3 linked regions of the Cricetulus griseus genome follow. The protein of the gene in region 1 purifies or fractionates together with the protein of each later gene. This does not show direct contact. Links are inferred from orthologs where the notes say so. Each region holds a gene or a part of one and is shown on either strand. Other genes may lie near its edges.

The links. Proteins that work in one complex are often made in the same cells at the same time.
Region 2: the proteins of Med4 (region 1) and Ccdc138 purify together in Homo sapiens (affinity purification with mass spectrometry; 3 studies listed by BioGRID and IntAct, with this or other methods). This does not show direct contact. The link is inferred for Cricetulus griseus from reciprocal best matches to the Homo sapiens genes MED4 and CCDC138.
Region 3: the proteins of Med4 (region 1) and Ift20 purify together in Homo sapiens (affinity purification with mass spectrometry; 3 studies listed by BioGRID and IntAct, with this or other methods). This does not show direct contact. The link is inferred for Cricetulus griseus from reciprocal best matches to the Homo sapiens genes MED4 and IFT20.

What each region holds. Positions count from the first base shown.
Region 1 is NW_023276807.1:228,015,236-228,019,195, reverse strand, and holds the start of Med4 (mediator of RNA polymerase II transcription subunit 4), read right to left. Parts: upstream 2,809-3,960; 5' UTR 2,803-2,808; coding exon 2,678-2,802; intron 2,653-2,677; exon of another isoform or gene 2,356-2,652; coding exon of another isoform or gene 2,240-2,355; intron 2,151-2,239; exon of another isoform or gene 2,028-2,150; intron 1,791-2,027; coding exon 1,724-1,790; intron 430-1,723; coding exon 259-429; intron 1-258. UniProt on the Homo sapiens protein: Component of the Mediator complex, a coactivator involved in the regulated transcription of nearly all RNA polymerase II-dependent genes.
Region 2 is NW_023276807.1:2,595,357-2,599,388, reverse strand, and holds the start of Ccdc138 (coiled-coil domain-containing protein 138), read left to right. Parts: upstream 1-1,232; 5' UTR 1,233-1,296; coding exon 1,297-1,389; intron 1,390-2,675; coding exon 2,676-2,733; intron 2,734-4,032.
Region 3 is NC_048600.1:91,926,678-91,930,749, reverse strand, and holds the start of Ift20 (intraflagellar transport protein 20 homolog), read right to left. Parts: upstream 2,801-4,072; 5' UTR 2,614-2,800; intron 481-2,613; 5' UTR 327-480; coding exon 254-326; intron 77-253; coding exon 1-76. UniProt on the Homo sapiens protein: Part of intraflagellar transport (IFT) particles involved in ciliary process assembly. May play a role in the trafficking of ciliary membrane proteins from the Golgi complex to the cilium.

The DNA of each region.
Region 1 (3,960 bases):
AGCTGGAAGATGGGTAGTGGTGGCAGCACACGCCTTTAATCCCAGCACTTGGGAGGCAGAGGTAGCTGGATTTCTGAGTTCAAGGCCAGCTTGGTCTATACAGTGTGTTCCAGGACAGCCAGCACTATACAGAGATGCTGTCTCGTGGGGGGATGAGGGTAACCTGGGTTTGTTTTTTTTTTTTTCCCTTCAAAATATAACAAGAGTTTTGAGGAGAGAACTTAACAGCCGCCTCTCCAGGACCAACCGTCAACTCACCAGGATTTGCTCTGCCTCTTTCAGCTGTTTCTGCAGCTGCTGAATATCACTGTCTCTCTTCTCGACTTCTTTTTCTAATGCCTGCATTTCATGGTGGACTTTTCCCTGATTAAGTGCCAACTTCATCAGTTCTTGAAAGTCCCCATCTCGGTGAATTAGCAGCTCCAAGACCTGTCAAATAATAGTTGATTCCATCAGACAACAGGGTTATCAAGGCTATCACCAATGAGACAAAGAACCCATGCTTGAATTGGCTAGGTTTACCAGTTTTAACACCCGGAATAGTCTTAATCAGCATTAACAATATACATAGCCCATTTGGGGTAGTTTGAGGAAACAAGTTTTAATATCAAGAATTTCCATTTTTATTCTGGTCCTTTTCCATGTAGAACATATCTTTCAGAAGTAATACTGTGCAAATTTCAAGTTTATTCATCTTCCAAAGATAAAATTAAAAAAATTATCCTTATACTACGGAATAATAAAAAGCTCTTCCAAAATCTAATGGTTTGAAGTGACTTTAGTTGGCACCAAACACTTTAAAACTTTGAGATACACCCGGGCGTTGGTGGCGCACGCCTTTAATCCCAACATTCAGGAGGCAAAGACAGGTGGATTTCTGTGTTCAATGCCAGCTTGGTCTACAGAGTGAATTCCAGGATAGCCAGGGATACACACAGAAACCCTGTCTCGAAAAACAAAGAATGAATAAATAGATAATGAATAAATGGTATGCAGATATGGAAAAATGCCACCAAGTTTAATATGCTATCTTGTTGTGGCGGGGGAGCTGGGGTTTTTTCCCCTTCAAAATATAAGCAGAGTTTTAAGGAGAGAACAGAAGCCTGGGGTTTAGTTTGTAACCCTTCAGTTGCTAGCAGTAAGTCACAGGAAAAGAAGTCACCACCCTCCATGAGCCTATTCTCTCCTCTAAAAAGAAAACTTCCCCAATAACACCTATCGTATGCCAGACTATTCTAAGGACTCATGATGTAAGGGAGGTTGGAACACACAGAAGAGCTCAGCAGGCCGATGTGTTGACCACACCTACAATTCCAGCACTGAGATAAAGGTAGGAGGACCAGTAAGTTCAAGGCAAGCCCCGGCTACATAAAAACCCAGAAAGAGAGAGGGGCAGTGGTGGCATCTTGGCAGGCAGATCTTGGAGAGCTCAAGGACAACCGAACAGATAAACCCTGTCTCAAAAACAAAAAAGATGGTTTGAGCGTATGTTTATATTCATTTTGAGAACAGAACGTACTTGAAATCTTTAAACTGATACTTTTTTTAAAAACCAGAGTTTTATTTTATTTTTTTCCAAGACAGTATCTCACTACATAGCCCTGGTTGTCCCGGAACTCACTCTGTAGACCAGCCTGGCTTCAAACTCAGAGATCTGCCTGCCTCTGAAGGTGTGAGCCACCATTTTTTTTTTTTTTTTTAGATTAAAAAAGAAACCGTTTACCTGGTTTTCCTCATCCAGCTGTAACAGCTTCTGATTTCTTGAAATTGCCAGCATTTCTATAAGTTCCCTAAAAGAAAAGCAACCATCAGGGTACGGTGGTACTTGCCTTAAACTCGATAAAGGGGTGGGGTAGGGTGGTGGTGGGGGGGAGGGGGGATTCAGGCCATCCTGAGCTACCAAGTGAAACCTTTTAAGAACACAATAAAAACCTGTGAGAATAAATAGAAAAGAAACTGTTTTAACTGCTCTCTGTCCCAACCGATTACTGGCTTCATGGTTGTGATTTACAAGAAAACTATCTGACCTGGACTGTGGGTCTGCAGGCCGAATCCAGGAGGGCTACAGCTTGTGGAAATTATTTTCTTGTAAGATAGCACTGACTGCCATGACGATGGGGCTCTGCCCTTACAAGGCTCCAACTGATCGACTTTATAATGACAATATGGAGAATGACACCCAACTTAATCTACTTCTGCCACACAGGAGCCATCCCACCAAGTCCTGCACGTTTCTGACCTTTTTTTCCGGGATGATGGGATCATCTGCCAGACGCCTAACGAGTCTGATGTCTTCCCCAGACAGCCTACTGGTTTGGGAAGCTCGCCTTGCTTACACCGGACTAGGGGTCCCATCCGTGGACTCCAGAAGGCTGCAGCTCGGCTCGTGATCCCAGCAGGGCTCCCTGGTGCTGGCACCCAGCCTCCCTCGACTACAGCATCCCTGCACTTGGCACTCCGGGGCTGAGTGTCCGTGGACCGGGCCCTTCCTTACTGTCTTGGGGCTCCAGGTCGCTGAGATGTCCCCTTAGTGGGGACATGCCGCCCAAAGCCCCGGAAGGCCGCAGACCCCAGGTGCCCCACACTCGCGCTCCGGCCCGACACTCCCCGGCCCGCCTACCCCCAGTCAGCGCCCACAGCAGGGCCGGCCCGAGCAGGTTTCCCGGGCCGCGGTTACCTCGACAGGACCTCCAGGTCTTCCAGCGCAGACAGCAGCCGCTCGCGCGTGCTGCCAACGCCTGCCATTACCGAGACGCCGCCCAGACGCTCCTTCTCCTTCTCCCCACTTGAAGAAGCCGCCATCGCCCAGCCGATCGCCAACAACCGCATGCGCAGAGTGAGCTAGCGGCAGGAGGGGCGGAACCGGAACACGGGAGGAAGAGTCATAGAGGTGGTGAGAGAGAGGCTCCGCTAGAGCGCCGCCTACGGTCTTGGAGGTGCACTGCAGTTCTGGCGCCATCTGCTGCGCAGAGGAGGGATTGCTCCAGCCGGACCCAGGATGAGAGAGCTATCCAGTCTCCTGGATCTCCTGTTTCCTTAGCTGCAATGGGAAGTTGCTAATAAACGAATTTTAAGAAAGCGAGAGAATTGCACAATTATTAACTTTTATTTTGTCTGCATTCCCATAATATTATCAAGCCCGTTAAGATAGTTCTCTCATGAGGTTGTAGTAAACATCTTAGGACAGGAACCAACATTTCCCCCCCCCCCATTCTTTTGTTTGGTAGCAAAATATATATACATATAAAATTCACTATCTTTTTTTAATCCGGGAAGTCACTCTATGGGCCAGGATGGCCTCAAACTCAGAGCTCTGCCTATCTCTGCCTTTGGAGTGCTGGGATATCAAGTGTTTAATTTTTAAAAAGTTTTTTTTTTAATTTTAAATACTGTCTCATGTAGTCTAGGCATGTACTACCACACCTGTGGCTCAAACCTAGAGCTCTAAGCATGCTAGGCAAGCATTCTACCCACTGAGCCACACCCCAAGCCCTGGAGTGCTGGGATTAAAGGTGTTTGCCACCACCACTGGGCTATTTAAATTAAGTATCTTAGCCACTGTATGTATAGAGTTCACTGGCCTTAACTTGCTGTTAAATAAGAGTAGTGGTGGTACACACCTTAAGAAGCAGGCAGATTTCTGAGTTCTAGGCCAGCCTGGCCTACAGAGAGAATTCCAGGACAGCCAGGGCTACACAGAGAAACCCTGTCTCAAAACAAAACAAAATTGCTGTTAAATAGCATCCATATCCAACTCTTTTTTTTTGCTTGTTTGTTTGTTTGTTTTTGGTTTTTGAGACAGGGTTTCTCTGTATTTCTTTGGAGACTGTCCTGGAACTCTTTCTGTAGACCAGGGTGGCCTTGAACTCACAGAGATCTGCCTGCCTCCGTCTCCTGAGTGCTGGGATTAAAAGCATGAGCCACCAATGCTGAATGCTGAGCCACTCCACCAGGCTGAAT
Region 2 (4,032 bases), about 230 Mb from region 1:
GGCATGTACCCACTATGCATGGTTGCAAATGCTTTTTAAGAGATAATTTTACTTTTTCAAACTATTAGGGTTATTAAAGACCTTGACAAAAACTTGACAAAATGGTGTGTTAAGCTAATTTTTCCAGGATTGGCATCAATAACAGGTGTTTCCAACCTGTTGAGTTACCAGGTTGTGAGCCATCATTTGGGTTCTAGGAATGGAACTCAAGTCTTCTGGAAGAGCTGTCAGTGTTCTTAATGGCTAAGCTATTGAGCTCCTACAAAGAAGTTTAAAAGAAGCTTGAAGTATTTTATAAGATATTTGATACATTTTAGAATGTGTTTATTTTATTTTAATTTATTTAACTTAAATTGGTGTTTCTTTTCCGACTGGCTAGATTTTGTATTCTCATTAAAATCTGCCAAAAAAAAAAACACCAAAAACCCTCGACTCCACAATAAAACAGTTTAGATGGTATTTTATAGCAAAAGGTATTCTTTAAGCATTTTTTAGTAGTTTACTGTCTCCTTGCTAAAGTATCAGCTTTTGAATTTAAAAGTAATCTAAAGAATTTAGATTCTTAGGGGTTGCTGGTCCACATGAGCACTTATTGGAAGTTCTCAGATATGAGCTTGTAGGATATGGTTGAACTGTACTGTGTGCTGTTGTAGGGCTAGGGAAAGAAAGGTTTTTGTTTTAAAGCAAACGACGTGTTTACCGAGCGTTTTTCTGACTTAATGAGGTAGGTCTCCTCATGTAGCCGAGGCAGTTGTCCAATTTAAGACCACGTAGCCCATCCTCCATCTTCCATGCGTAACTCAAATTTGTGGAAATAGGCAAAGGAATTGAAAAGGTAACTTGCTGCAGTTTATGTGCCTAACATTCATACATGTCCTGATTTTTCTGTGATAGTAACCACCTTTGATGAAGAGAAGTGTGTTTGGGCAAGTTGTATGCACGGTAAATTTTCTACCTGATGTCCCACGTGGCCCCTGGCCCTGGGTGGCACGCTGGCCTCAGATGTGCAGAAGACACTCTTCCCTCCTTCTGCCTGGCTGCGCTCGCGAGGGGAGATGGAATGCTGCTTTTCACTGCTCACTTATTTCGCTGGGGGGTGGAGGGTGAGGGGGAGACTTGGAACCGAAGGACAAACTGAAGGGACAAAGAGGAACTGGGTGCGCCCTCCTCGCACTCGTCTTCCGACCGGCTTCCAGCGTCCCTTGGGGGCGGGGCCGAGCGTCGTGACGTACTGCCCGCCCTGACGCGGCTGTGAGCGCGGTTCCCCAGGCGACCGTGGTCAGCCAGCGACCCACCATGGAGCGTAGGGTGGTGAAGCCACCGGGGCAGGACATGATAGTGGAGCGTCTCAAAAGCCTCTACGGCCTGGCGGGAAGCTGCTCCGTGGAGGTGAGGGGAGTGAAGCCCGCGGCGGGCTCCGGCGCCCGGGCGGCTGTGGGAGGGCTCCGGCCTGCCTGCCTTGGGGAGGCTCGCCCGGGAGCGCCTTCCCTCAGGGAAACCGCCGAGATGCATGGGGCGTGGCTTTGGTCCTGCTGGTGGTGACCCGAGTGCAGCAGGCATAGAAGACGACGTGGTTCTTTCGGGCAAGCTTCTTACTCCGAAGTAATTGCAAACTTAGAAGTTGTGGCAGTATGCATTCTTGTAGCCCTCCCTTGAACGTGCCATTCACCAGGGGAGTCTTGGCTTATTTGCTGCGGGATCCCCACCGATGCAATTTGTTAATATCAATCTGTGGGATGAATGCTGGAAGAACCGAAGCGGGGGAAACCAATTGCAGCTATGCAGTTTCCACGAGGCTCATTTATTATTATTATTTATTATTATCATCATCATCATCATCATTACACCTCCTTTGATAAGAGGCGTTTACAGTTCAGCTGAGAAGCCTGCTTCACAGCCTAGCAAATCCAAAGCTCAACATATGAGGTACTGGAACATCATGTACTCTGTTCTCCAGAAGTTGAGGAAGGTAGCAGGCATTCCTTAGTTCCTTCCCACATTTGCTAACTTTTCAAAATCCCTTCTAGAGAAATGTCAGTATATCTCAGAGTTCCCATGCCCGTGTCACAAATCCATTCTATCCTCACATAACCTTAATTCAGATTGTAACACGTACTCCTCTGGTTTGGTTTTCCTGTGAAGCAGGTTCTCAGAATTTTAAAACTTCATTGATACTTTCCAGGATATTTAGTATTGCCACAATAATACAGGACAATGTGTAGCTCATACTTAGATTTCACTAATTACCGCAACTAAGACCTTTTGTAGAAAGTTTTTCCTAATGCAGATGCCACTTAGGTCTGAACATTGCATTTGGTTGGCTCTGTTGCCTTTACAACAGATGCCCACACTTAGTTTCTTACAACATGAATGCTTTCACAAGGTTGAAGAATGTTGTGTATAGAATATCTGTCAGTTTGAGTTTGATTTGATTCTGGTTTGATTTGATTCTGGCTTTGTAGTTTTGGCAGGAATATGATACGGAAGGTTCGTGGGCTGCTGTGATGAATCAACAAGTACATGATGTTTGCTTGTCTAATTAGTGATGCTAATGTTGCTTAGGGTGCGGCCCTAGGTTTTTCCATGCTAACCTTTGTAATTAACATGTAATCTATGGAAAAATATTGTAAGGGAATATTTCTTAGTGTTTAAGTGTGTCTTTTTTACCCCCCTAGCAAGAGTTTTCAAATTTTGATCAGACTAAATATAAAAGAAGAATTCTAACCTCCCCAGGTAAGTCAATAGAATATTTTGTATATTTGAGTATTTTAACAAATTTAATTTGAAAGAAATTTTTGTAATGGTTTAGATGTACGGTTAGTGTTACTTATTTTTTATTTAAAATTTTTTGGTAGATACACAATAATAATTGTGAATTTAGGGATGAATGTGTGAGATGCCCTTAAAAATTAAATTTAACCAGAGTTTTTGGTGTGTGTTATGTGTGTGTTTAATTTATAGTGTGTATACCTTCCCTTTCTTTTTACTCCTGTGCTACTAGGAGTCAAAACCAGACCCTTGATCAAGACTGAGCAAGTGCTTGATCACTAAGCCATGTCCCCAGCTAATATGTTTGTTTTTTAAGATGTTAAAAATTGAGCAGACTGTATTGGGTGAAGAACACTAATTGGTATTTTTAAGCAGGAAGAGTTACTAGGATAGAAAGTAAAGGAAAAATTTATCAAGTGAATGTACTTGGAAAACATAATTATCCTGGGGGTTGTAATGTTTTTTGATAAGCTGAAACTTTTTGTTTTTTTCAAGATGGGGTTTCTCTGTGTAGCTTTGTAGACCAGGCTGGCCTCGAACTCACAGCCATCCGCCTGCCTCAGCCTCCCAAGTGCTGGGATTAAAGACATGTGCCACCATGCCCAGCTACCAGAAAATGTTTTAAATAAAATTATAGGACATTTCCCCAAACTAAAGGAAGAGATGCTTATCAACATATAAGAAGCATCCAGACCACCAAATAGACAGAACCAGAAAAGAAACTCCCCATGACATATGATAATCAAAACATTGAATGTCCAGAACAAAGGATATTAAAATCTGCAAGGCAAAAAGACCAAGTCACATATAAAGGCAGGCTCATTAGAATAACACCTCAGTGGAGACTCTGAAAGTCAGAAGGGCTTTCAAGAGATCACAGATGCCAGCCCACACTGCTATACCCAGCAAAACTATCAGTGACAATTAATGGAGAAAGAAAAGCATTATACAATAAAACCAAATTTAAGTCATTTCTGTTTACCGGTCCACTTGAAGGCAATCTTCATTCTGAAGAGGTTAATTATTTTAGGGCAGACCCCATGTCCAGGAGTAATTGGCAAACACAAGATAAACTCAGTGGTATTTTTGTGGACTTTTTGTTTCATTTTGCTTTGGACACTTTTTGCCTTATTCATCTTTTGGTTTTTGTTTTTTATTTATTTATTTTGTGTGTGTGTGTGTGTGTGTGTGTGTGTGTGTGTGTGTGTGTGTGTGTTGTGGGTTTTTTTTTTTTTTTTTTTTTGAAAAAGAAAAACCAAAGTT
Region 3 (4,072 bases), on another chromosome or scaffold:
TCTGGGTCCAACACCCGAAGCTTGTTCAGCTCATCAAAGTGCAGCCCTGCTTCCCCCAAGATGTCCTTGGCCATAGCTGTAAAGAAAGCAGCCCCAACCTGAATTTCATCCCAGACATCCAAGGAAATCAGGCTCAACCTCAGCCACTCCAGTCCCCAGATACCATTGTCAAGCCCTCCTCATACTCCCCAGATACCATTGTCAAGCCCTCCTCATATTCCCTGTTCCCTCTACCTCCACCTCTCAGCCTCACCTGTTTCCCTTCCAGGCTCCCTAGAGAAGTTCTGCTTTGAAGGGGTGACAGTGGCAGTCAGGAGGTATGTCATAGGAGCAAGGGTCAGGAAAGAATAAAGTCCAATTGCTTGTCACAGGCATCGTTCATTCAACATACATTTCTTGAGTGCCTACTACATGCCAACACTGCTAGATGCTGGGGTGTAAAGATGAATGCAACATGGTGCCTGCCCTGGAGCAGTTTAGCTGGAGGAAAACAGAATGTAAACCTGAAAAACTATATTGCATTAAGTGATTTTACAGAAATATCACTAAGCCAACAGGGGAAAAAAATGAAAACAGCAATTCACTTGGGTGCATCTGGCCTAAGTTGTAAGCCATAAGCATAGTTAGAAATCCCCGTTTATGCATCCCAAAAGGCTTTTCAAAGGTATACACCGAAATGATACACACAAACAAACAAACAAACAACACCACCAAAATAAAACAAAGAAAAAATCTGGCACACGCCTTTAATCCCAGCACTAGGGAGGCAAAGGCAGGTGGATCTCTGTGAGTTCAAGGCCAGCCTGGTCAACAGAGTTCCAGGGAGCAGGGTTGGGGGGGTAGATGGAATAGAGTTAAAAGCCACCTATGGTCATGCATGACTCTAATTCTAGCACTTATGCCAGAGGACCACTGACACAAATTTAGGAGCAACCTGGGTTACATATTGATTGATCTCCAGGCTATACTGTGCTACATAAGACCCTGTCTCCAAAACAACAAAAACAAAAACCAACCCAACTATCTTTTTGTGTTGTTCTATTTGGACAAACAGTTGAGTAGTTAAGAGCTGCCAGGGATTAACTGAACAAGGTGCTATTAATAATTCGTGTAATATGAGGGTGCACACACCAGAGTTTGCATGCATTTATTCAAAAAACTGTGGAATCGCTACTCCAAGGACAGAGTGAACACAATGTCTCCAGACAGACAGTAAGCAAACAACCACTGTGATAAAACTATATATTTATGGAACAGTGCTCAGTGTCGTGAAGCCACTGCAGGAGAACATAACTCAATGGGCAGAGGTCAACAAAAGCCTTCAGAAAAAATAATATGAGACCTGAACATGCCCAAAATAATCTAAGAGAAGGGAGAGAGGTATTCTGAACAGAGGGAAAAGCACATAAGAAGATCCTGAGGCTAGAATTTGGCACAAAGGCTATTGTGATCAAAACGACAAGAGCAACGAGGCTAGACTGGCTAGAGCTGGGTGGTTCAATGCTGGGAAAGCCCCAGTAATGAACTCAGATTTTTTTTTTTTTTTAAAGTGGTAACAGCTAGTAGTGGATTCCAGCAGTGCTCATCGATCAGATTTGGGAAGATCACTCACTGCCTTGGCCAATCGGAGGAACAGTAGTAGCACAGAGGCACACCTAAAAGATGATTCTTCACTGTGAGCCTAGCATCTAAGCAGGTTGCCTACAAGTAAGCGGCACTCTGTAAATGTTTGCAGAATGAATGAACATGGAAACAGTAGGCTGTAACAGAATCAAAGACCTGAAGCTGAAGACGAGATCACAGCTGACATGTTTCCCAAGTCGACAGAATTTAGTAACAGACTGTTGAATGCAGCAGTTTGGAGATAAGTGAAGAAAAGAGCCAAACATGATTGCCATGAGTCTGGACTGGACCGAGTGCATGGCTGGAAAAGCACAGTTTCATGAGATGCTTAAGAAAGAGGGGGAACCATTGCAGGGAAATGATTCACAGTGGACTAAGAGATCCCCACCTCACCCTCAGCCTCTACCACAAACATGTCCCAGGGACCTAGGATTGAGTTTCCTTTTTTTTTTTTTTTTTTGGTTTTTCGAGACAGGGTTTCTCTGTGGCTTTGGAGGCTGTCCTGGAACTAGCTCTTGTAGACCAGGCTGGTCTCGAACTCACAGAGATCCGCCTGCCTCTGCCTCCCGAGTGCTGGGATTAAAGGCGGGCGCCACCACCGCCCGGCTGGGATTGAGTTTCCTAAACATGAGGACCGTGACTGGCTCTACCAGCCTGGCTCTCCCACATCCCCAGGCACTAAAAACAGTTGCGGCTGTGGAGTGTGGAGAAGGCGCTGGCACAGTCAGGAAAGACTGGGCAAAGGACGTGGCTGTCTCGTGGCTGTCTTTACTACGTTATCCTCCTGAATCGTCCGAGCCTCGGTTTCCCGGCGAGATCGTAGGGAGCCGTGCTCTAGGGCTGAGCTGGGTGTAAACCGGCTCCCTAAAAATGTCGAGGGTGGGAAACCGCGGCTTTCGGCCTGGGCCTGCCAATCCCCATCGCGGGACCACGTCGGCCTTCTCTAGTCCCAAGTCCACCACGTCCCCCCGACCTCAAATCACGACATACCTGCCGACCCGTCTTGGCGCGCTGCGGCCCAGATGGCTGTCGGCGGGAAGTTCTCTCCGGTAACCGCAACCAGCCGCTGCCACGGATACAGGACTTACTAAGCCACACGTCACCCCGACACCAGAACCAGTAGCATCCCAGCAGTGCCTGCTGGGAAATAGAGGCAACCCGGGAGGAGCGGCAACTGCCCACGAAACCCAGAAGCCTTTGCGCCGGAGGCCGTCGGAAGTAGATTTGCCCTCACACCCGGAAGCGGAAGAAGGCCAAGTCTCAACCGGATTCCCGACTCCACCGCCTGCTCGCGCTGTGCATGCCGGGTCTTGTAGTATATTTCTCGAGTCGTAGGGCTGGGTTGTAGCTCAGGAGTCGGCCGGCGCAGGACGTGAGCTCACAGCTGGGATTGCAGGCAGCCACGGGCCAGAGGCCGCACGGAGTCCGCTCGCCGTTCCACTGAGAGGAGAGGCGCCCCCGCCGACGGTGAGAGCCAACGTGCTAATGCAGAGGGGAAGGACAGGCTCTGCCGAGTCCTGGGCAAAAGGCACGGGACGGCGCGCGGGGATGGAGTTCAGGTCCTCCCCTGGGGTTGGGTGGCACACGGATCTCAGGAGAGGAGGGGTGTGGCGGGAGAGCACCCTGCACTGCCAGGAGAGGGGTGGGATAGCTCTTCATTCCCACAGGGAATCCTTTGGGTAAAGCCTAAGCATCGCTCTCACGATTTCTGACCTTTTTAGCCAAAACCAGCCTTCTCGCCCTCTCGCTGTCCATCGTGTCCTTCCTTTAGGATCCCAAGTCTTTGCACTACCGCCGATCGTTTGCCCTTTGTTCTGTTTGGCTTCCCATGAGGTTCCCTTAGAGACACGTGTGGGTCCCTAACCCCAGGATTACCCCAGTATCCATAGCCAAAGTCCAGAGGGAAGAGCACCGACGCTATCCATGGAAACTTCATCCTCTCAGAAATTTCTTTCTAGGGCGTCACCTGCCACTGGACTCTTGGAACTCATTGGTCTGGGTGGAACCTGATCTGACGTCACCCAGGACTCAAAGTGGCTCCTTTGTAGGAAAAGAATAGATTAGCTCAGGATTTGACTTCCTTAGCTGGCAAGCCTAGTCACTGAGTTTCTTTGATTTGGTAGAACCTGTATATGTTCTTTGATTCGGGAGAAATAGGGTTTGGACACAAAATATGTGAGGAACTTGCTAAAACTTGTTAAGGGGTTGATTCCCCCCCCCCCTTTGGGGTAGGGCATATTGCTCACCATTCTAACTTTTTTTTTTTCTTGAGACAGGATTTCTGTGTAGCTTTGGAGCCTGTCCTGGCACTCAATCTGTAGACCAGACTGGCCTCAAACTCACTGAGATCGCCTGCCTCTGCCTCCCAAGCACTGGGAATAAAGGCGTGCGCCACCGCCCGGCCTGGCCCCATTCTAGCGTTCCAGTGTTACTTACTGTCAGTCTCCTG